Drosophila melanogaster: one gene and its partners. The protein of the gene in region 1 interacts with the protein of each later gene in a pairwise test. Each region holds a gene or a part of one and is shown in the gene's direction. Other genes may lie near its edges. The genes, in order: CG31999, Hel89B, CG7745 and eIF4B.

Region 1 (6,722 bases):
ATTCTTTTAGTCAATTTAGTTAATTGCTTGGACACAACAAAGCGCAAAAATCTGTTAGACCCAAACCTTCAAAAAAGGTACTAGAGTATCATTTGTAACGGACGCAAATACCAAGGTTGTTCAAAAATTTACAACATTTTGTTGTGTAATTGTTTATTTACCATAGTTTTCAAAAACACTGTCCTTCTTCTATCAACACAAAAGCTGACTTTGATGTATTAATATAACTATTATCCGGATTGCAAACACTATTGCGAATAATCTTATTTACATTCGCCTTTAAAATTCGAAAATTTACTTCTCCATAATCTAGATTGCTGTATAGAAAAATTGGTAGTCGGTTACTTATAAGCCATACATTTTGATCTTTTTCTTTGTCTACTTTTAAATCATTTGGAAATTGAATAAGATTTGAGTTTTCCATATTATGAAATTTTCCCAAATGTGCTCGAGTGTATGGTTTCGATGTATCCCAGCATCCAATATCATCTTGATGAACTTGTGTAAAAAACATAATGCCATTCCTTGTAACTCCTGATGTAGATGATTGAGAATTATATCCGCGGTCTCCAATTGGTATGAAGTACTTGGCGTACTCTTGAGTATTCGTTTGCCACACAGATTCGTTTAACAAGATATTCATAGGCACCATGAACTCCTAAATGAGAAAGTATTATAATCACAATTATTATTATTATTATATCAGTTACTCGTAGAGTATAAGGGATTGCTAGTTTGGTTAATAAAAATAAAACAGAAATAAGCCTTTTCGGACCCTACAAGCTGCAGATAATTAGCTTACTTAAGATTTAGATTTATTTAAGTACCTTAAGTAAGACTGATCAAGTAGTAAGCTGTAGGAGGGGTTTTTAAAAGTAAGTCGGCGAGCCATTATTTAGACAATAAAGACAATGTTAAGAAAGGCATTTTTTAAAATCAATATCAAATCAATTCCCAGCCATTTTCTTGTCTTTATTTATATACTCCTTATACTCACCTTGAAACTTGCCATTGGATGAAAATAAAGAACGCGTTCCATTATTTTCTTATTGTAATATATACTCATTCCAAAAACACCATCCAGCCATTGAAAATTTAATCCGTATACATTAAAATCCGAAGCAAAGGGATCCGGATAAAAGTTATAGTTGGTCACGCGCCAGCTGCGGTTTTTTGATAGGCTGTAAACAAGTAGACCAAATCTCCATACATCCGATACGATAGCATGCGCATCATCGCAATCTTCTCCAATATCCACAACAATATTGGAGTGCAACGAATCTTGCTTCACATGAGAAGCTTCCAAATTGTATCGAACAATCAGTTCGTCACTTTTAAGATCATACACAACAATTTTTGGTGGGCAGATCTGATTTAAGTTTATTGTAGCATTGACAATTCCAGAATCAATTAGCCAAATTCGATCACACCTATCTACAGCTGTTCGATAAACTGACATCAGTTTTGAGCAGTCAGGATTGTTTGGATTTCCATGAGCCTCCCAGTTTGGATACGGCTTTATTGCCGGGCTTGACTCTTTTGGAGGAAAGGGCAGTGTACCTAAGCTAGCAGGCACACCATTCTTCCAACGAGGAGTTGTCACAAACAGGCGGTTATTATGGACATCAATGCCTAAAGGTAAATTATTTTTTGGTACAAAGTCTCTGTAAATATTAATATATTATAATAATTAGACAGTAAATTCAGCGCAGTAGAATAACACATAAAGCCAGATTATGATAATCCTTTATGTAACAGTCTGTAACAGCCAGAAGGAAGCGTTTCTGACCATGTTCTATATGGTCATATACAATATTCTTTATAAGGATCAATAGCCAAGTCGAACTGGCCATGTACGTCGATCTTTATTTGCATTTGCATTTTCCCTAGCTGTGTAACGGGATTCTGATAGTCGGGGATCTCGACTATAGCATTAGAGATAATGCTAGGATTTATTCATCAATATTAAAGATATGGATGAGACGCACTGAATGATTCGAATGAAAAGAAAGTATTTATAAGAACTAGTCTCCTATAGTTTTCGAGATAAGATATTAATTTGTTAATTTTTTTTCGCATTCGCAGTTCCACGAGCTGATTAACGGATATCTGATAGTCGGGGATCTCGACTATTTGTGACATAAGAGCGTCAAATAGTTTATTTTTCGAATTTTCTTTTATACCTCTCACAATACAAGCATTTTAAATTTATTAAAGGCGTATTTTTTGATTTTTTTACTAGTACTACAATTTGTTATTAATATTAATACATTTTTCAAATTATCTCTTGATTTGTAAGAAACTGTTATAACCAAATTGTTTTGTTACCCATTTAAAATAGATTGTTGGCGTTGCACAAAAGTTGAGTATAGGAAATCCAAATATTTCCATTCATAAACGATCTCCAGTTGACTTTCACTCTGTAAGTTTTGCGAAAACGACTGCGAAGTATATTCATAGCCATCAAGTGTTTGGAAAACTGGTTGAACACTTAAGTTTCCATTTAAAGTCTTCGATAAAAAAACTAACTGTGTAATTATATTAAAGATAGTCATAGACTGCATCCTAGCTGAATATTAAATAAATAATTCTCAAAAATGTACTCTATGGAATCAATCGACCAGATCTACCAACGTTTAAAGACTGATTTAATGTATGTATGTTTAAAATATCTTTTACATGCTTGTTGATGCAGATCAGAGCTTTTTTGTAAGGTATTGTGACAACGCTTAAGCTTTGTTTTAAAGCTTTTTCAACTATGTAGGTATGTATCTATCTATGTGTTGTCTTGATCTCCACCAGCCGAAATTGTTTGAATTTGTTCTTTTGTTTCGCATTTCATTCAAACGTGTAGCCTTAATTTCACTATCGGACCTGTCCCAAATTTTAATCGGTATTGAGTTTTACGAGTTTTTTCTAAACTAACCATGAGCAATATAATCCTCAGTATTAACAAAAATTTTAACTTTCATCAATTTTTTCAAATGGTTTTGATTGATCAAGAAAATTTGTATTATATTCAATATCTCAATCTATTTGCTGGCAAAAACAGCTATTATTTCAATTCCATCAAATGATTTATATAAATAAGTTTTAAAAAAATAAATAAATATTGTTTTAAAGAGTGTTGAATGAATTCAAATGTTGACATCAGATCCTTGCATGTAGATTGTTCGATCGTCACTTTTTTTCACATCTTTAAGAGTTGGTTTGGTTTGATGGGTAATAGGGGTAAATAGTCTGCGCCAAAAAAAAGTATATATATTTGTATGTATATATATTTACATATAAGCCACCATTTCCGACCCTATAAGTAAACACTTACATATATATGTATGTTGTTGATCTAGATTGCTAGCCGATTTTAAGCTCTTTGCCCCCGTCGGTCATCGTTTATCTGTGTATAGTTATTATAAAACGTAGGTATGTATGTATAATAAAATATAAAATATAATAAAAAATTCAAATTTTAAAGAGCGGACAAAACGACGGTCACAGTTAAGCAGGTATGGTTGTACCAAAGACACTAGAATAGTGTCTAGACACTAAAATAGTGTCTTTGGTTTTACCGAGATATACATACAGTTTGTCAAGAAACTGTTTGCACACTGTGAAATAAGTTGAATTTTTGGCTTTAATGGTAAAAATTAAGAGTTATTTGCTTAATTAAACGGAATTTTTTTATGAAATTTAATTAAACAATATTTATTATACTAATAAATCAAAAAACAAATTAAAATATTAAATATACAAGTCAAGAAACTCTACACATTTTGTTTTCGTACTTTGTCTTGTTTTTTTTCTTAGAACTAACTCGATTTTTCCGTGGTTTTTGGTTGGTTTGGTTTTTCCGTGGTTGGTTTTTGTATTGCATTTTTACGCTTCTATTGAAATTTTTTGACTTTGCTTGTGAAATTTTGCTGATCGAACGTGCTTAAAGTAAATTATTAAATTTGATAAAATGCCTGGAAAGAGATTAATTGTTTAAGTTACCCAATTAATAAACTATAACCACCAGTTGGGAAAATCTATTCCAGAATTAGTAGAAATGTTTTCTGTATCCCGTACGACCGTCTACAATGTTTTAAATCGCACGGAAAAAGAGGAGAGGCTTGAACCTAAGAGTCGGTTGGCGCACAACCAAAATTATCAAGCGCGTAGACCGCATTATTATACGAATAGTGATTGCGAACCCCCGAATCTCGGTCAGAGCACTTGCTCAGGATGCCAGAGAAGAATGTGACCAAATTGAATGAACATATGTATGTATGTATATTGATCATATCTTAAACGTTTTCTGCTACCTTTACCTAGTTTCAATAATTCACATTGCTCCAATTCACAAAACCTGGGATTAGCAAATAAAAGTGTGTTTAATAAGAAAATATAACAGCAGGTCGTCGAACAATAAACATATTTATGTACGTAAATACATGTAACGTATAGCGTAGGCTTATATACATACATATGTACATACATATGTCAACAGCTTGCTTTGGCCCACACGCGTTTCAGTCTTAAATCCTCTTCGTTCTAAAATTATATATTTGCTATACATACATACAAGCATATACAAACATGCATGTGTGCGCTGCTAAGTGACTGAGATAATTCCAGATAGCGTATGCACATGAGCGTTCTTTATTTTCTCATTCATTGCCTGACCTGTTCATTTAAAGCTCCCATCTTTATATTAATTTTATTTTTTACCCGGATTTGATTTCTGAACCCGTTATGTTTTATAAACTATGTGCTTTTATGTGTTTCTTGATAGTTGGAGGGCATGTCACCACCACAATGGCCAGTGGTAAGTAATGTGTAGTATACTTGCTTATATGTCAATAGATATGAATATTTATATATGTACCTGCCTACTGAAACCGCCCATTGTATATTTTGGGCAAATCTTTAAAATTGTATTAGGTTAGTTATAAAGTTATTAAGTTATAAAGTTATAAAGTTATAAAGTTATTAAGTTATTAAGTTATTAAGTTATTAAGTTATTAAGTTATTAAGTTATTAAGTTATTAAGTTATTAAGTTATTAAGTTATTAAGTTATTAAGTTATTAAGTTATTAAGTTATTAAGTTATTAAGTTATTAAGTTATTAAGTTATTAAGTTATTAAGTTATTAAGTTATTAAGTTATTAAGTTATTAAGTTATTAAGTTATTAAGTTATTAAGTTATTAAGTTATTAAGTTATTAAGTTATTAAGTTATTAAGTTATTAAGTTATTAAGTTATTAAGTTATTAAGTTATTAAGTTATTAAGTTATTAAGTTATTAAGTTATTAAGTTATTAAGTTATTAAGTTATTAAGTTATTAAGTTATTAAGTTATTAAGTTATAAAGTTATAAAGTTATAAAGTTATAAAGTTATAAAGTTATTAAGTTATAAAGTTATTAAGTTATTAAGTTATTAAGTTATTAAGTTATTAAGTTATAAAGTTATAAAGTTATAAAGTTATAAAGTTATAAAGTTATTAAGTTATTAAGTTATTAAGTTATTAAGTTATTAAGTTATTAAGTTATTAAGTTATTAAGTTATTAAGTTATTAAGTTATTAAGTTATTAAGTTATTAAGTTATTAAGTTATTAAGTTATTAAGTTATTAAGTTATTAAGTTATTAAGTTATTAAGTTATTAAGTTATTAAGTTATTAAGTTATTAAGTTATTAAGTTATTAAGTTATTAAGTTATTAAGTTATTAAGTTATTAAGTTATTAAGTTATTAAGTTATTAAGTTATTAAGTTGTTAAGTTATTAAGTTATTAAGTTATTAAGTTATTAAGTTATTAAGTTATTAAGTTATTAAGTTATTAAGTTATTAAGTTATTAAGTTATTAAGTTATTAAGTTATTAAGTTATTAAGTTATTAAGTTATTAAGTTATTATGTTATAAGGCTTTAAAATTATTACCACACTAAGGTATTTAGATTTCGGATATGAAATTGATAAATGACGAAAAAGAATGCTAGCCTCGGGCAAGGGACATCACCATATGGACTCATGTGTTGATACTGACTAAGAATACTTATAGAGTTGAAACCTTTTGATTTTTACCAATATATACTCTGGCTTAAAATATCCTGTGATCAAGCGAAAGTGAAAGTTTTATTTTGTTTTAAGACAGCATATCGGGTTATATACGAAAATGCTGTATAAATGGACTTCGACATGCTCGTACGACCGCCTCTTGCAAAAAAATCGACATAGCCCCAACAATAATCCCGCAGCTCTGGCTTGGACTTTGTCATTCTACACTTGAAGTCTGCTGTTCTCGAGAACTGGACCATCAAGATTGCGAGCTAGGTCGACTGGCTGCTTTAGACGGTACTCGCTGTGACGGAGAAGGAAATGTAACATCTAGCTCCTATGCGACATGTTGTCGTTCTTGTCAAATCGGATTAGCAGTTAAAGCGAGTAAAGCCAATTGCAAAGATCCATTATTTTCATTTATTTTCTTAATTGAATCATACCGAGCGTGCTGTTACGGATCTGCTGACTTTAAAGACCAGCCCGGTATCGACGAAATCGATAAGGCTAATTCTATTACTGATGAAGGTGAATTGCCGTTTGTTTCTGAAGAGGATATGAATGTAACTATTGTTCTTACCGGCGATGGTAAGTATATCTTATTTGTGTATCATTTGAAATCATAATTAATTGTACTCATTGGTAGATGACATATGTGGAAAAATTGAAAACCTTTGCGCTCACAT
Region 2 (6,574 bases), on another chromosome or scaffold:
CAAAACTATTTGCTGCAAAAAAAATGGAGCTTCAACTTACCTGTACGTATCAATCATAAAATTCCTGTAGGCCATATAGATTTCTGGTGTCTTTGACTTATTCTTGCTGTTAAAGAATTCCGGCATGGCCCGTTTCTCGATCACATGAATGGAGTTGTAATCAAACCAAGCCGAGTACGAAGGCACGATAATGTGGTGCGTCTGCTCGGTCACATTGTCCTCCATATCCTCTTTGGCCGATGAAGAGAATTCCTGCGTGTTGCTGTTATCACTTGTCTTGCCTGTCTGCGAGTTTTCCCCATCTCCGGTAGACATGGCTTGAGCGGCGCTTCCTCCAGTCATTTCGTCATCCAGATCGGTCATAGTGCCACCTAGATATCAGTTTGTTTAGTCAATGCAGATATAAGATAACAAAACTTACCTTTAATGGGCATCATGTCGTTGTCGCCACGAGATTTACCGCCCGGAGCTGGACTGGCGGTGGACTGCAAGGCGGCATTTGCCTTATGAACCTCCTGAACATTGGGCTCGGCCGGCGGATCATCCAGATCGCGAGTTAAGTCCTCGTCATCATCGTCGTTGCGCGACTTTTTGTGCACCACGGCGGGAGAACGCTTACGCTTGCCCGGCTTTGAGGTGGATGCCGAACTGGCGGGAGATGGTGAACGGCGTCTCTTCTGCTTGCCTCCGCCCGAGCTGGCAGCAGGCTTCTTCTTCTCGTCGCCGAATGACATGATGTCGTCTATGGACATACGCTGTTTGTGCGTCTTCTTCTTGCCCTGTTCGTCAACCTCGTAGTCCTCCTCGGCCATCCACTCATTGTACTGCTCCAGGTCCACGATCCAGGATGCAGACACACGCCAACGTTCCGCCGGTGACTCGGGATTCTCCGGAATGTGATCGGGCAGGTCAAAGTTATTCACAGCCCAAGAATCGTAGGACTCGGGGAAGTAGTACCAATGCAGCATCACATGTCCGCCGCGCTTGAAAATGGGCCGCGCATACTCGTCGGGATGTGGGTCCACCACAGGATAGACGATATGGGTGGCGTCCTCCTCGTCCGACACAATCTCTACCCGTCGATTGTCCAGGATCTCGCGCAGTTTTCCCTCGAAGCCCTTTTCAATCTCCGGCCGAATATAGATGTACGGTATGCGATACAAGTCCGCCTCGACCAACGCCTGCTCAATCTCGATCAGCAGCTGGATGTTGGGATCCTTGCGCGTGGGATTCTTGCCAATGGAGAAGTCGAACTTCTTGCCGCGTTGCTCGGCCCGGAAACGGAACATGGTCGAGAAAATGATGCACAGACCACCGCCGCTCTTGAAGTCCAGAAAGCAACGCATCTGGTGTGGGTGGTACGATTATTAGAGATATGTTTTAATGTACGTAAATCATGTAGCTAAATACAAAATATAAGCTAGTGGTCCAAACATTTGGCCATTGGAGGATTAATATTTACGTGTACACACGCAACACGGGGCACCCTGTCCCCCTCACCAACCACAGGCACTATCAATACTAACCGGAATTCTGGTTGCCGGCGGATCCGCTGAGTTCTTGCCCAGCTTGGCTTCCACATACTGCAGGAAGTGAATGAGCAATTGGGCCAAGGACTCCTTCGTGATGGGCTCCGAACTGTGGGCCAAATACTGCAATAAATACGGTTGTGAGTAAATCGTTTTTTTTTCGCCGCCTGACAGCGCCATTTTTGTTTGCGGCGGCGTTGTTGTTGGCACGCACCTTCTTGCAGTTCTTCTGCAGCCACTGGCGAATCGATTCAAAGCCCTGCAGCGTCTCCGGCGACTGGAAAAAGTCTATATTCGGACTTCCGTCCTTCTTAGGACCCAGTGTGTTCATGTTGCGGCACTTTTGTGGACTTTTTGTCAATTATCTTTTCACTTTTCCACGCCAAAAAGCCAATAAACGCTGCGTTGATAAAATAGAGATGGTATTTAAATCGATGTTGTTGTGACAGTCGTTATCGATATTTCAGCTATCTCCACTGAAAGTTATCATTATTTTAATCTTAGGTTAGGTTAATATATAAACCTATTGGTTGGTGGAAGCCATATATTAAATAACAAGAAAACATATTGGCTGTTAAGAGAATTATATAGACTTCGAAAAAGTTATAGCTAGCTAACGTGTCAGTTAGCTTTACATCTCAGTGGGAACAAGCTATTATGTGAAAATTGCTGTTAAATTCAATAATGCCATCTGGTCACAGTGGCGGTGGTGCTGTATTGGCGTCCCGCTCGCGCCGCCTAAAAACCGATGCACCACGATAGTCAGGCCGCACATATAAATGCGACTCCATCGCGCTAACATGGCTGCTGGGAACCGAAAACTTAAAAATATTGTGCTGTCAGAGTGTGTTTGCATCAGCGTGAAGCCCAGTGTTAAGTTAAAACATTGACTGCCTACGCCCACCAACGACAATTGCCGTAAATCGAATTCTGCCGTTATTCGCAACGCCGGATTCCCATCCGTGTGTCCGTCGCGAGTGTGCCAGTGTGCGTGAAAATAAAAAGTCAATGGTGCGTGAGTGCGAGTGAGTAGGAAGAAAGCAAAAGCGATTGGATTGATTTGTGACGCTGCTGGCGAAAAGCAGTACCCAGTACCCCTTTCCTTGGGCCAAAACACACACATACGTACGGCTATAGTAACTCAGCATCGATTGTACAGTTTGAGAGCAAACAATTCAATTAGAAAATGCAGAGCGCATGAGTTGAATTGTGAGTGGGCGCCCCACATAAGCTGACTGCTACCGCACAACGAAGGGAACTAGAAAGAGGAGTGCGTAGTGCGGAGAGAAGAGCAAATGCGAAGCGAAGAGGAAGAGAGCGAGAGAGAGCAACCATTGCCAAAGGTAAGTGATATAACACTCGGAGATCGGGAGTGGGAATGCGAATAGGAACATAAGGAACCCCTAAATTCTTATCCTAGATTGCAACATTATTTATATGGCAGCAACTTATCGCTTCCGCTTGCTTGTGTGCGTGCGATAGAGATAGATAGAGTGGGGCCAAGGGGCTCTGTTTATTGATAAGAGAGGAGAGCGAGCGAGAGAGAGGGAGAGAGAGAGGAGGTGGGCGCCAACGCAGCAAAACAGCGGAAATCCTTTACAAAAACTTGGTCTACCACTAGCTCTTTGTCTTCGCCTTCTAGTCTCTCTCATCTTGGCAGCCCGTTCTAGTGCGCGTATTTTTAGTCGCAACACATTGCCCAATTCGCCAGCCGCTATTTGTGTCGTCCATTTGTTCATTCATCGGGCTCTTTTTCCGATTTCAGTGGGTGGCATTTAACAATAATCCCTGCGTTCGCTGTCCACGTCCACATTACGATACGTTTAGTGCACGGAAAGAAATAAGCATGTGGTTTCATAATATTAGCTATTGAAAAAAGTTCTTAAATTTAAGCCTCACTCGATTCTGATGCATGAAATATTATTGGATTGTAAATGAGCGTCATGTTTTGGTATACAAATCTCAAAGTAATTTAAAAATTCTCATCTTACCGTACCTTGAACCACTACCAATCATCTCAGTACAGCATTTCAGCGAATTTCTCACTGTGCACTACAATGCCAGGCGGTACAAGCACCTGTATTTATTTATGGTCCGCTGCCGTAATCGACTGCAGTCGCCGCTTCCCTCTCTCTTTTGCTACCAACAACTTGGGGTAGGGCACCTGAACTAGTTTCAAACGGCGGCGGTCGGCCTTTTCAGCTTTTTCGCATTTGCCATTTTCCCGCGGTTCGCAACATCAGCGACATTTGTCACAGTTTCTTAAAGAACATTTGAATATCCAAAGTTTACTTGCCGAACTTGACTGCGGCATTGCGATGATGATGCTGCCCGTTGTTTGTCATTCAGCTCCATTAATTCGATACCAATCAGTATTTCGTGCATTGTGCAAAATACGCAGCAACAGCTGTTCCAATATTGGCCAAATATGGTGCAAATATTGAACTCTTCGCATATAAAAAACATATGGCGCGATCAATGCCGAAATGTGTCATTTTCGGCGAATTTGAGCAGATGACCCATTGAGCCCATAATATGTACTTTATTGAATTTGAAAAATTTGTATTTCCCCAAGCAATAAAAACACAGAACTCCATATAAATCATCCCTTCTCTGGGAATTATGATATTAATAAGTGGGCGGACAATGAGCTAATCTTCCTTAGGGTTAAAAAAAGTACCCTCCATTACAATATAAACTTAGTCAAGTGTGACAAAATCATGTATATATATATTCATATAATTAATTTATTTTCGATGATCAAGCAAGGGAAATAGTCGCGCTTATCTTTAGTGTAAACAAATGACCCAGCATTTCCGCAGGCCCGTTTTAATCTGTAGAATACACATGTCTATTAATAAAAAAAAAGCTCACAGAACTTGCCACAAAAAAAAATTCGAAATACACTTAGCCTATCCTAATCGGTACTTTACGAGAGCCATTTAGTGATAATGAAAAAGTGAACATATTCGTGGCTTATCGTCCAATGGACATGTATGAAATAAATGCGCGACACGCAAATTAGGCTAAAATCAATATGGCAAAAATATCGCCTAATATCATGAACAGCTCGTAACGATTCTCCTTTTTAAGGATTACATTTTGTGACGATTAATTTAAAAGTTGCAAAGAATTTAAATTAATCTGGATTGCTACATACTGTTGTAATTAAGAGAGATTTAGCTACATATGTACGTTCTCACAGTGCGTTTCGTCACCATGACGACCAACCCCATTGATGACTGCGATTTTTTCTATCGATGTTCATCTAATGGAAACTTAATTACCCAGCCGGCGGAGCATTTTCCTGCATCCAATCTAGCCGATCCAATCCCAACCCCCCGCCTCAGTGGGTGGCTTCGACAAGGTCGCTGACAAATCGAAGTACAGCAGATTTGTCGCCGATAAATTGGATTTATGGTTGGTCGGATAAAGCCAAGCGACATGCCATATGTACAAACGATTTCATTATGACTTTTACGTCGTTTTTAATATTATGTATTTCTTTATTGTTTGTGTAAGTGTGTGTGTGTGTGTGCTTTATTGGCTTGATTACTTATGGATGGATAAACATTGTCAATAAATCTGCACGTGCCTTGAAGACTCGCCGTTTTTCGTTATTATTTATTCTAAACGTAAATGTAAATGTATTCTCAAAACGGTTCAGTGAACCGTGGTTTTTGCAATTTCTTATCACTGCATTGATAACAGGCATTCAAAACTGAAAGCGTCGAAAGTAAAAGTATGTGTCACTTTGGAATATCGATAATCTCCTTGTAATAATTCGAGGCGAACGGGCTCTAAACCAGGCGAATCGTTTGGGCCCCTTGGCGTTCGTACGTAATATGGGGGCACTAGTCCGGAATATGGAATATGGAAATGCCGTAATTTGCTCAATTGTCACGTTCTGCTCTAAGCTGTTAAGAACGCCTCGGCGGCCACAACGAAGTCATTATTCGCCATTCGCGTCGAGTGACTCAATTTACACAGCCTAACCCCACTTGCTGGCGGAGCTTAATAATGCCTCCCAGGAAATCCATACCAGTACCGACTAGGTCGTCCATGTCTTTTGCCTTCCTCGACCACGTGTCCAGTCTTTATTGGTCGATTGGATTGCGGTGGGAAAGGCTACATTTTGAGATTGCTACAGCGTCGTCGTGCTGAGCTATGCGGTCATTCTAAGGTACTACATTGTCAATGGAACTAATCAAATCGTACTAATTGGTTAATTTTTAATTTGCAATTATGTCACAGTTCGCGTGGGTATAAATCTTCTTTGGACGTAAATACTTAATACTTATACTTGAGAAATGTTCTATGTCGACTCGCATATTGGATATTTGTTTTTTTTAGATGTTCCATCTTTTTATCGACCACTGAGTAATAGTATTAAGCAATTTAGTATGGTTGCTAACATTCTTATTTATTTCGCGCTATAGAGACAGCATTCCATCAAATGATTCGCTTAATTCTATTATCAATTGACTCTGTTATGAATGTATCGACTTGTTATTTTTGTTGTTATTTTTCTGACTCACTTAAATAATAGATGTTACGTGGGAAGTGCATAAGTGGGGAAATACGAAAATATTAAATAAACAGTTCTTCAATTTTATTTATGTCCCAATGAATACTTTATATAATACAAATCGTATTATATACTTTATTTAATACTATATTTATTTTTATTTCCAGATTAGTTACTTAGATTATTATATCAACGGATCACAAAGGGAACCACAAATATTATAATGACATCTAGGTATGTTTGTCAACTATCAAAACCTAAAAATATAAAATGCTAATTGTATTCAACATACCTTGTAGACTTGATCGGCTGTTCATTCTACTGGAGACGGGCTCTACAGCGGCCACTCGTCAGGCGGCCGCCAAGCAGATTGGTGAGGTTCAAAAGCTTTATCCACACGAGCTGCACGCTCTGCTGAACAGATTGGTGGGCTACCTGCACAGTACATCCTGGGAGACACGGATAGCTGCAGCCCAGACCGTTGAGGCCATATTAAAGCAAGTACCGCCCTGGCAGC
Region 3 (5,966 bases), on another chromosome or scaffold:
CTTCTTAACTGCGATGAAAAAGTGAACTGGAAGGATTGCCTTCTCGATAAGGACGAAGAAGTGGCGTATGTGGAAGATTTCCGAAAGGCTTTTGCGCCCTTTGATTTTACAGACGATTAAGCAAAGAACATTGTATGTATAGTAAAAAGTTCATATCGGTTGTAATTGCTGAGCCCTTGCTAACAGTTCATCCATGTAAATGCTAAAACTACAATTTAATTAAAAACGTATCCGTAAAGTCGTTGCGCTTGAGTAATTTAGGAGTCACGTTGGTAGATTTTGTTGAGTATTTGCAGGAAGGTCTGGTGAGGCACCCCGCGTGAGGTTTGTTGTATGTGCGTTTTAATCATGTTGTAGGATTCCTCCTCGAAAATGGCATAGGTGGATGGCAGTCCAAGTTCCTTGTACAGTTCTTTCACTCGCTCCACTTTAGCTGGTTCTGCAGGTTAATATTCAAAAGTCAATGTCTAATTGTGCGGGTTTGCTAAGCTAGTTTTACCTTCTTTGCCATAGCAATCGACCATGATTTGCTTTTGCTCGACATTGGCTCGCTGCATTGCCACCACTGCCAGCCACGAGCACTTGTTGTCCTGAATGTCGGTTCCAATTTTACCAGTCACTTCCGGATTACCGAAGCAGTCGAGGAAATCATCTTGAACCTGGAAAAAGTTGCCCATTTCTAGGAGAATGGTCTTCGATTGACGGAAGGCCTCTGCGTCTTTATAGCTAAACAATAGAGCGGAAGATTAATAAGCGGAATCTTATATATGTATGGCCATTACTTACCCAGCCAAGTGCAAAGCAAGTGCGAATGGAAGGTAGAAGGAGTAATAGGCAGTCTTATTTTCGACAATTGCTTTGTAGTTTTCCATTGTGAATTCCGAGACACAGCGGTTCGAGTTCAGTTGGTCCAACGATTGTCCGCAGGTAGTGATGTATGTGATTTCGTGGAAGAGCTCCATTAGGGCGACATAGCAGTCCAAGTGGCTGAAGTGCTTCTTGAGAATGGCATACATGGCGTTTTCAATCATAAGAGCATCGTTAATGGCAGTCAGGCCCACGTTCTCCACCTTGTGCCAGCAGGGTTGGCCGCGTCTGGTGGTGCTGTTGTCCATCACATCGTCTGAGATGATGAAAAAACTTTGGAGCTGAAAAGATGATCGATAACTTTGTATTAGGAAAACTATTTAATGCATAAAACTCCTACCATTTCCACACACCAGCCCAGATACTGGGCGAGCTTTATGTTCTCCGGCGTAAGATCCTGGGTGGGCACTAGATTCTTATACGTGAGCACGGTGAGGATGCCGCGGTTCTTCTTGCCCCTGGGCACATTGTACTGGAGGACTTGGGCGAACCATTTGGCTGCGTCGCTGCAATTGTATGCCTTCGTCACGGTGGTGATGTCACGCACAAGATCTGCACATCGAAATATAATTAGCATTAGTATTTGCATGATAATTGTTACTGGGCATAAATAAACAAATCTCACCTGGGAACACGGCCATAAAGTCGCGACTCTCATCTTTCGACACCGTGACGCGAGCGGCAATGGGAACCGAGTGATTTTGGAGCGTCGATAAGGTTCTGTGGACAAAACAAAAGTCAAGAACAATAGAGCCCATAACTGACACCACCAGGCAGGCACAAATACATACACACACACATGCACGCATCTATGGTCTACGTGACTGCATAAGCGGCTCGATACAAACTTTCTCCCCCACTTGAAATCAAGAAAAAAAGACCCCGAAACTCCTTTTCGAAAATCACGCCCAAAACAGGCCTCCGATACATGCATACCATGCCCATGCCCATACCGGTCGAAATGTAAACAAAACAAACAGGCAAGGCAAAGGTCAAGTGCGAAAACCGGTAGATTGATTACCTGCTAGTCTTCTTCAGCTTCTGTTCGTTGACCAGTTCGGTGGGGAGGCCGCCAATGGTGTCCATGGACTTGATGATGGGCTCTGCGTTGACCTCGTCGCTGGTAGAGATCAGGCGTTGCAGGCGCAGCGGGCTGGCCAGGATCCGCTGCTGCGGCAGGAGCATACGGGCCAGTTTAAACATTTTTATTTAAGATTATCGGCAGGTAACTATCCGCTTCACAAAACGGCAATTCAACTTCGGGTACCAAATTGCCAGTGTGACTGAATCTCGGTTCGCAAAAGAACCCACCTTAAAATTTCAAATAACCATAATACGTTTATAGCAACTATTTTATAGCTGACTTTTATTTTTCGAGAATTTTGTGAAGGTAACTTATAAGTTAAATTTTTAAACATTTTTATTTAGTAAATTCAGGAACAGCAAATGATTTACTTTTGCTGAAATTATTAATTTTATTGCGTGTTAATTAATTAAATGCATTACTATATATAAATCAAAATGCTGACGAATTTAAACATGATGCAAATTGTCGAATATATTTCGATATCAATATCTTCAAATTATATTTGACACTCTGCTGCTACATTTTCGGTCACACTGTTTCGATGTCCCATGAACAGTGTTGGAAATGGCCTGACATACACCAAAGGCAAATTGGCAGCTGAAAACACGAATTAAACTAAAATGATGGATGAGCAGCTAATTGACGAGGTAGCGCAGCACGGAGTGATCTACAACCGGCAGAAGTACTACCTCAACGGCGGCGCCAATGGTGGCAAGTACGAGACGAAGGACGAGGCCTGGCAGCTGATTGCGATGAAGCTGCGCACGGATGGTGAGGAAGACGCGCTCCTCCGGCAGATCCTCTATATAAATGTTGCCCTCCTTTCCAGTGGACACGTGCAAGAAGCGGTGGAAGTACCTACGCGAACGCTACGTGTCGCAGCGGAAGCAGGGCGATCCACCTGTCTACGAACACCTGTCGCGTCCATACCTGGAGAAAATGAAGTTCTTGGACCAGCACATCCAGCCGCGCAAGTCCTACCGCCATGTGCCGAACTTCCTAACATCTCCACAGTCCGCCAACAGCTCCGGCTACAACGAATACCAGGTTGATAAGTCCAATGGCTCCATGAAGAATGTGTCTCAGTTTGGCAGCTCAGGGCAAAGTCATCTTTACCACCAGCCGGATCAGCAACACGCAATGAGTGCTCTGAGTAACGTTGCTGCATCTGCGCTGGAAAACGTCAATGGCCAGGTGAAGATCGAGGCGGACCAGGTGTTCAGGGATTTTGCGGCTGCCGTGGCCTCACAGCAGCTCCAGCACATATCACAGTCACAAATGCAGCAACAGGCGGCGGCCGTTGCAGCTGTAATGGCTGATTCCTCGCAAGGTTATCAGGATCAATACAAGGATGGCTCCGTGGGCATGAACGGGGCCCAGAACAGCGCTGGCAGTCTGACCTCAACATCATCCTCGATGAAATCACCGCTGTCGTCGCCGCTGCAAGGAATTGGGGCAGGATCCCATCATCCTCAGCAGCAGACGCAACAACAACAGCAGCAGCAGCAGCAACAAGCGCAGCAACAGTCGCCGGCATCTGAACAGCAGCTTCCGGTGGTACATTCCTCTTCCAGCGCCACGGGCGCTTCCATCGGCAACAGTTCCACTCTGCAGATGCAACAGTCACATGTCTATAACCCCAAGGGCGATGGTCTAGACTCTTCGTCATCGAGCCATTTCCATATGAAGAAACCCCGTATTCAACTAAATGGCAATGCCCATAACCAGATGACCAGCAATGGTAGTCACTTTGGCAATGACTCGGACGACGAATCCGATGAGAACAGCCATGATCTGATGGAGCCGCAGGCTATGATGCAGCAGGAGAATCACTACAGCAATTCGATGCCCATGCAGCGGGGCAATGGAAATGGGAATAACAGTAGCAGCAATAGCGGGAGCAACAATCCCAGCGGCAATAATAGCCACAACAACCAGCAGCAGCAACAGCACCAGAACATGTTTCCGTCAAACACGGACTTCCTTTTCCAGTTATACCAGCAGTTCCCACATCAGGCCAGCAGTTCGCATCCCGCAAACTTCGGGAAATTCCAGGCGCCGCCCAATCATCCGGGTGTGCAGCGGTTGTCTGAGCATTTGCTGGGAGAATTAGTCACCACGGAACTGCTGAAAATGAACAAGGAACGGAAGAAAAGTGCACAGAAACGGATCCTAGAAATACTATTCTTCGACGATTAAAGGGCTAGCTACTAGGTATTTGTAAATAATGTAATCTATTATCCTTAACTTATGTTATTCGTTAGACGGTTGTCAGATAATAGTAATTGCATCGCTTTGGTCAAATTTCCCACCAATGAGTCATTTGCAAAGCTCTACGTTCTACCGAACACTTTTCAAATGTGCTAGTCAAGACCAGCAATTGGGATTCCATATCTGCATTAATTTATGTTTTTTTATATATGTTTAAGAATATAATGATCGGTTTTAATTTATTTAAATTCTTATTAAAGTGTACTCAATGGAAAAGTGTCTTTCCAATGTGAAAATTTGCAATTTATGTGTATTTGGGCATTTTTGTTAAAAGGGGTCAGGAATGGATGCTACGATGCTTTGTGGTAAGTTTTCTCTGGATGTGATCCATTTTCGCATGCTGATAGTGGAATTTTCGGCACGAAAGTTTACAACCGCATATGCGAAAGTAGTGTAGTCATCATAAAGAAAGTAGTTCCTAATGATATGTAAAGCTTCGTGACCCACTGAGGTCCAATTTCAGTTATGTTCAGTAGCCGTCCTGCTGCTTGATTTATGAGTGGCCTTTGACCAACCCTCCGATTACCCACAAAGCGGGATGCAATTGCAACTACTAAGACCCGCTGGCTACTGTCTGCAACGGAAACTGCCACTGCAACTGGCAATTGGCCTAGCTCGTTAACCCTCGACTGGCCAAGCGGCCATTCAAAGTGCCACTGCAATTGCAATCCTGTACGTTGATTAATGACCGATCAGCTTTGCATTCCTCTGGGCAGAACGAAAGTCTGTGGTGATATGAATATGTTTAGGCTTTATTGCGTTTCATATCTTAGCTGGTAGAGAGAATAATTACTTGCTTGTGTTTTCTGTTGTTAGGCTTAGATAAATAAGATCATAATATTTGGATACTGGTCAGTGGTGCAATTCTTAGGCTACTTAATGGACCACCGAATATTCGAGGGTCCCACGCATTTGGCTAGCGTATGTGTTTACTTGTCGGATTGTCTTTGATTAACTGAAGTTAAAAACCTTTAGCTTATTTACAACTAATCACAGGAGGCTTGGAGTTGCAATCTCAGACCTCCTGATTGTCCTCGGACTCGGCCACCATGGTCAGACTTCGCAGCGATCTGTGAACGAAACAAAACACGACCAAGCGTTAATCAGCTAGCTTAATATTATTATTCCAAATATTTCGTAAGAGAGCCGGCGGAGTGATGAGTTCAGATTCATTTGACTGATATGGTTTGGTTTATCGCCTTCGCAGCCAGCCATCCAGCTTGCCAGCTTATTAGTCGAAATCTGACAACTCATCAGCATGGACTACCTACGCGTCTGTCTGCTTATTTTGTTAGTCTGTTTAGTCGGTGCCCATGCAAGTGAGTCTGATTTCAGTTGGAGATTGTGCCTAACTTGGGAGTTAACTTCTGGTTTAGTTACAGGTGAGATGCCCACGTTCCAAGGCCTGTGCCAGTTGCAAGGCGACTGGTGCACTACCAACTGCCAGATAGCCGGTGGACGGGACGGACTTTGCAACAAGGTGGGCCTCTGCATCTGCAGACCCTTGTAGTGGTGCTAACGTGACGGTTAGACAAATCGGAATAAAGGCGAACATATTTACAATTGCGAACGGTGGTCGGGAACTCATTCTGCGGATGTGTTACACTATGGTCCGCCACTTGCCTGGAACGCTCGAAGAGCGAGGGATCCGTGTAGATGGGCTCGCTGGGATCCTCGAACTGGTGGCTGCTCTGGTTGGTGCTACGCATCGGATTTATCACTGGCAGCTGGCACATGCGCG
Region 4 (6,246 bases), on another chromosome or scaffold:
TCGGGAACGCTTCCTTCTACCTTTTTCATACATTTCAACGAACCTAGTGTACCACTTTATTCTACGAATAACGGGTATAACAATAAAGTAGAAAATAAAAAAAATAAAATGTAATATTTGTACAGTTTATTAATAAAACGATACTTACTTCCATAATAAAAAGACAAATTTAAAAGCACTCAGAAAATATTTTGGAGACACAAGAAAATACTGACGAACCTAACGATTCAAAATTGAAAATGCAGGTAAGAGAAACGCAACAACAAAAATGCTTGCGCTAGTTTTTCTGCTTGTTTTCGCTTTACCATTTGCTTATCGTAAGTACTGAGTCAGAACAAGAAAGAATGCTATAGTCGAGTTCCCCGACTTTCCCAACTCGCTACTTAGCTGGTGTGAATGCGAAAGCAAAATTTCATAATTTTTCTGGGATATCGATATGGGGTATAAAATGAGAAAAAATTAAAAATCGATAGAAATTTACACGACTTATAAAACTATGAAAAATATCCAAAAATGGTTCAAAAATGTGGGCGCGGTAAAGTTTTTTGGCAGGTCGATAAAAATTTACACAGCTAATAAAATTATGAAAAAAATATCAAAAAAAAATTTCAAAAATGTAGGTGTGGCAGTTTTGGGCGGTTTGTGCGGTTGTTAGAGTGGGCGTGGCAAAATGTGTCGACAAACTTTCGCTTCGTTTATATCTCCAGAAACTGTATGCTGAATCGCAAACTTTCTAGCTTTTATAGTTCCTGAGATCTCGACGTTCTACGGACAGTCGGACATGGCCATATCGACTCGGCTATTGATCCTCATCAAGAATGTACAAATGTACTTTATATGGTCGGAAACGCGTACTTCTGCCTGTTACATACTTTCAACGAACGTACTTTAAGATACTTTATTTTCGAGTATAATTTTCAGGAAATGAATTCATTTTACAATCAACAATATAGAAGCAATCATTAAAGGTAACTTGTTGTAATACATTGGAAGTGGAATTATTCCGGAATTCTGGATGCATTCCCATAAATGCTTCTGTAAGCATTCTCTTTTTATATTTTATTCAACTAGAAGTATATAAATTGATCAGTAGCCGTGTTGGTTTATTTTGCTTATTTATACTATGATAGACGAAAGACAAAAATCTGTATTGGGAATAATTAATACAATTAATTAATATAAATTAATTAATTAATTAATTAAATTAATAATATAAAAGAAGAGAGAATTCAATAGTCGAGTTCTCCGAGTATCAGATACCCGTTACTTATGTACTGGGACTGCGAACGCGAAATGTCATAATTTTTCTGGAATTTCGATATATTATTGTTATATATGTATATTGCTTAAAAGTGAGAGCGTGTCAGTTTTGGGACGTTAGTGGGCGTTAGAGTGGGCTCTATGTCTGTGGAACCTGTATACTTTATCTCAACTCTTTAGCTTCTATAGTTGAGAGATCCCGTTGTTGATACAGTGGACAGACAGACAGACGGACATGGCCAGATCGACTCGGCTATTGATCCTGATTAAGAATATACAGGCTACTAAATTTTGTTTGTAAAATTTGAGGTGGGGTCAGAAATAAATTTTTAATAACATAACTAAGTGGGAGAATGATATTATGGTGATGTGGAATAAACATCAAAAGACTACTGAGTAAACTATTTTTATATTTTTTGATATAAAAAAGATATTTACTTTTCATTTCGGCCAGACAAAAGTGCCGGTTTTACAAATCGAAAAATTGTTATCATTTCAAAAACCTCAGCACCGATTTTTCGATTGCAAATCGAAATCGTAAGATACGTTTTTTCTTACTTTTCAACAAATCTAATACACCATTTTACTCTAGGAGTAACGGGTATATACATATAGTACATTGTAATTTATTGAAAACCATGCACGCGTTTATGTTATGGAAACAACCTTTTTTCTTGTTATGTGGATAAAATATCACTACACAACAATTATTTCTCACAAACTCTTCCGAACTTTCCACTGGGTCGCAAAAAATGGAAAGTGGAATAAGGAACATCGCCAGCTTAGACTGCAAGTTAGATTATGATTAGGCTCATAATATATTGTCAAATGCAGGAGTTTACACCACTCAGGCCCTATTAAAAGAAAATCATTGTAAGCTGTACTACAATTGTTGAAACGAACTAATTGCTCCACATAATCATGGAAATTAATTTTGGCTTTTTGTTAAAGAACTCTATATTCCTACATTCCAACAAAGCTGCCTTGTGCAGCGAGTAGGCTATTATTAACTATATTTGAAAACAAAACTAAGTAATTTATCGTGCTAAGAATTTACATGATACAATTTTATTTTATATTGTATGTATTAAAATTTGTTTCATATTTAGAAAAAAAATATTAACACTAAGGTTCAAATAAACAAATTTTTTTACTATTCATATTTAGAAAACATTTCCGTACTACGGTACATAGTCAATGTTAGCCATAAAAAGCATACAAAAATGAACGAATTTGAAAGAGAGCGACAAGTAACTTTGATTAAAACATATACATACATAGTAAATTGTGTCTTAATATTTGAGCTTAAAATAAAAACAGAAAAGTCATCAAACTTTACTGGAATATTCAATTTTATTCTAAGTATCGGATTTTCACATATGTCAAAATTTCCAACTGTTTCTTTAGGATGTGCTCTTTGGGTTTTGGGTATTACCAGTTGTCAAAATAGTGCAGTTAAGCCCGAAATAAATATCGATAACGATATAGGAAAATTGATTTCTCTATTTTTGTGAATTCGGTAAATTATCAAAATTAAAGATTGGAAACATTGGTTGAAATGGCGTCCGCAGGTTAGAAATTTTTTTTATAATATCTAAGTTTAAAGTTTAAATTTTTTTTATTAATTGTAAAAAGGTAGTAATTTAATTGTGAGATTGTGTGGTTCCGCATGGATTTTTTCTTGACACGTAATGTAAAAGGAACACATGTCCACCTGCATGCATATGTGTAATCTTGCTTAACATAATATTTTATTGTATATATTGGTTGGTCATCATTTCTACTTAAGTATGTATTTCAATTTAATATTTTATTTTATTTTTCAGGAAAGAAGGGCAAAAAGAATAAAGGAACAGTTATCTCCTTGCAATCATTTCTATGTAATTCTGACGCTCCAGTCGGAACAACCCAAGTCTCAAAAAAAATACGAAATTTAGATGGCGATGATAGCGATGATGGAAGTGGTACATTGCCGTTGGTTTATCAGCTTCCAACCGCTCCGAGGGCAAATCGGATATTCGACGATAATTCTATTCCTCATAAAGCCCCATTTATTGCTTATATCAATAATTTACCATTTGACGCAAATGAAGATGACCTCTACGAGTTCTTTGAAGGTATTAATTTAATATCTCTGAGACTACCAAGAGAAGATGGCGAAAATGGTCGTTCCAGAGGCTTTGGCTATGTGGAGTTGGAAAATCGAGAGGATTTAATTCATGTACTTAGCTTGCCAGACCCCTCTATTAAAGGTCGCCGCATTCGCATTGAGCTATCGAATGAAAACGACCAGCAAAGCCGCCAAAAAAGTAATAGGCGGTTTGATGGTTTTGGAAATAATGGAGATAATAGGGATTCCGGAAATTGGAGGCGAGACAGCCAAAACAACGGCAGTAACTTTGGTTATTCTTCCAATTTTGAAAGAAGCTTTAATAGAGAGAGAAAATCTTTACCAGATAGAGATGATGTGAACACTCCTGGATCTTGGCGCACGAGCGCAAGGCCGCAATCTATTGATACTTCCCCTACACGCAGAGAAGTTGAACAAGTATCTGAAAAATATCGCGAAGGTCGAGTCAAAATAGCAGACAGATATTCCCGAGAAGAGACATCCAAAGTTGAAGAAGAAAGGCCAAAATTGAATTTAAAACCAAGAACTTTACCATTGCCAGATGTAAAGACAATTGAATTCGAAAAATGTGACGTTGATGAATTTAATTTGGATAAACAAGGCGGAACTTCATCATTAAACGTGTTTGGGTCTGCAAAACCGGTAGATACAGCAGCAAGGGAGTTGGAGATTGAGCAAAGATTGGCTCTCGCTCGAAAACAGGATAAGGGGCGCAGAGAACAGGGTTTAAATGAAAAACTTGCCGAGCTCCAGGTGGATAAAAATGATAATGAAAGTCTAAGTGCAACAGTTAGTTGGCGCACGAATCAGGACTACAAGGAAAGCGACAAAATTAATAAGTGTCCAGGTAACTAAAATCTAAATATTTGTCTGAATGTAGAAGTGAATTTTATCTGACTTGAGTTTTTAATCTAATCAAAAAGCATAATAATAATAAATAATCAGAGGAGGAGGAAATATACAACGCCACATAAAATACAACAAATTAACATTTTTCGAAAATGTGGGAGAAGCCGTAATTTGGCAAATAATCAATAACGTATCTCCTATATATTTGGTTTTCACCGTGCACCTACTTTTTGGGTGCCGACAAAAAATGCGATGTCTGTAAATTATACCATTGCTTAAAACCCAAACCACAAAAAATACTGTATGCGGGCTTACTTATGCGAGAACACGATTTTCAAGCTGGAAATATTTTATTTAAAAAAAAATCATAATTAACTTGTATTATTCTATTAATAAAATTCGAGTTGCACAAAATTATTCAAATAGTTGGTATTTTCATATATAATACTTAATATTAGTAATGTGCACTTCAGATACATATGTATTGTATATAATGTGTGTTCTCCATATTAAATTTTTGATATGCTACAGGCAGCATAATTTCCTTCTTTCAGAACTCAATATAAACTATTGTGGGCATCGGAAAATAATTATTTATTTTTATAATTTAGGTAAATGTAAATGTAGTTCCAAAGTTTTTATTTATATTTTTTTGAAGATGAAATCTGATAGGTGACGTCCCCCATTCTCCATACATTGCGTAAACCGATTTCTGGCGTTTGTCGTGACTCTTGTTAGCATAGCAGGTGTTATGATGATGATGGTTTTCAACTCTTTTAGCGTTCTTGGACGGTTCACATAAACACGTTGTGAAATTCCTGCACTATCGCCATCTCATACCGATGGAATTTAAGGTCATCATAAAGAATTCTTCTCCCAGAACGATCGGATAGTCATAGTCAAAGGTCAGACGCGTGTTTGAGCGCAGAACGCTGTGGAGATCGCAATATTGGCGCTCTCACTGCTTCAATGTTCTCAGGTGATCTAACGGGTCGAGGGACTCCAGTTCTTCGTTTTGTCGCGCTTGCAGTTTGCCTGAATGTAGTGACCCATGTAACAATTGATTTGCGTTCAGGGACAGGAGCCAACAGTGCTAAATTAAAGCGATACCGAAATGCACGCTGTGTTTTAATAACCGAACATCCGCTTGAAAAGTAGGCCACAACGGCAAAGGCGCGCTCCTCACTATTCCAACGCAAGATGGCGACTGAACCGTGTCGGGACAAAGCTTTGCAGTAGCCCCTCTTGAACGGGGCCATTAGTGCTCCGCTATGACATCAACTAACTGAATGGCGCGCATTTAAAAAAGGAAGTTTTGCTGCCGCACCCTGTATATACAATATGTATGCACGGGTGCGGTCTAAATAATACTAAAGCCGGTCAAGCAAAAAGTTATTTCTCATTATTTTCTCCATTCCTTTACTTAATTAATTAAATTTTTTCACTTTAGTAACTTAGCAGTTATTGACCAAAAGGTGAGATCGTTGCTTAGGAGGACAATCTAGGATTCCGACTTTCGGGTCTGTTTCTTCGAAAAATGTAAGTTTATTAGTAATTAGAAGACGACTCGATCCAGATCCTCATTTCAAGAGGCCAAAAAAAAAAAGCGGCATTACTCAGAAAAAAACATGAAGCCTAATGATTTAGGTTTGCGTGAGATCGCTTGAATTGGTGCAGAGGAGTAAAATCTTGGGGTCGGTTAAGGCGAAAATATTTTTGTTTTGACGGCAGTGACTCAAGTTAGTATTTTAGGTGACTTATAGGATCAAAACCATCACTGATCGTTATCTATACGTCGAAACATTTAAGAAGGTGATGCTCCCATATGCATTAGAGGACGTTTTAACAATACAATGACCAAAAATATACAAGTACACTTCCCAAATAGTGCTTCGTAGCTAATCCAGTCTATGTCATGGAGTGGCCTAATGTGTTGCGCTGGGAGAAGTCTCGGTCATAAAAGCAAGTGATAACTTTTAAATTTTGCAAGATGTAAATCTGGAGCC

Evidence for each region.
Region 2: the proteins of CG31999 (region 1) and Hel89B interact in a two-hybrid assay, tested with the Drosophila melanogaster proteins (one large-scale study listed by BioGRID).
Region 3: the proteins of CG31999 (region 1) and CG7745 interact in a two-hybrid assay, tested with the Drosophila melanogaster proteins (one large-scale study listed by BioGRID).
Region 4: the proteins of CG31999 (region 1) and eIF4B interact in a two-hybrid assay, tested with the Drosophila melanogaster proteins (one large-scale study listed by BioGRID).

Annotation. Positions count from the first base shown.
Region 1 is NC_004353.4:223,847-230,568, reverse strand, and holds the start of CG31999 (uncharacterized protein), read left to right. Parts: upstream 1-2,820; 5' UTR 2,821-2,893; intron 2,894-4,018; 5' UTR 4,019-4,734; coding exon 4,735-4,807; intron 4,808-6,129; coding exon 6,130-6,624; intron 6,625-6,682; coding exon 6,683-6,722. Other genes in the region: yellow-h, read right to left, coding at 170-658, 998-1,664, 2,329-2,564.
Region 2 is NT_033777.3:15,970,953-15,977,526, forward strand, and holds the start of Hel89B (helicase 89B), read left to right. Parts: upstream 1-2,345; 5' UTR 2,346-2,872; intron 2,873-5,612; exon of another isoform or gene 5,613-5,712; intron 5,713-6,224; 5' UTR 6,225-6,280; coding exon 6,281-6,291; intron 6,292-6,356; coding exon 6,357-6,574. Other genes in the region: mor (moira), read right to left, coding at 41-371, 422-1,346, 1,527-1,652, 1,744-1,860.
Region 3 is NT_033778.4:11,305,373-11,311,338, forward strand, and holds CG7745 (uncharacterized protein), read left to right. Parts: upstream 1-2,506; 5' UTR 2,507-2,574; coding exon 2,575-2,725; intron 2,726-2,783; coding exon 2,784-4,153; 3' UTR 4,154-4,457; downstream 4,458-5,966. Other genes in the region: CG7741 (uncharacterized protein), read left to right, coding at 1-120; Fpps (farnesyl pyrophosphate synthase), read right to left, coding at 258-439, 500-726, 787-1,148, 1,208-1,419, 1,493-1,587, 1,889-2,070; nompA (no mechanoreceptor potential A), read right to left, coding at 5,279-5,295, 5,787-5,966; CG43114 (uncharacterized protein), read left to right, coding at 5,484-5,544, 5,602-5,735.
Region 4 is NT_037436.4:27,854,776-27,861,021, reverse strand, and holds the start of eIF4B (eukaryotic translation initiation factor 4B), read left to right. Parts: upstream 1-2,750; 5' UTR 2,751-2,818; coding exon 2,819-2,831; intron 2,832-3,086; coding exon 3,087-4,238; coding exon of another isoform or gene 4,239-4,246; exon of another isoform or gene 4,247-4,314; coding exon of another isoform or gene 4,315-4,319; exon of another isoform or gene 4,320-4,656; intron 4,657-6,246.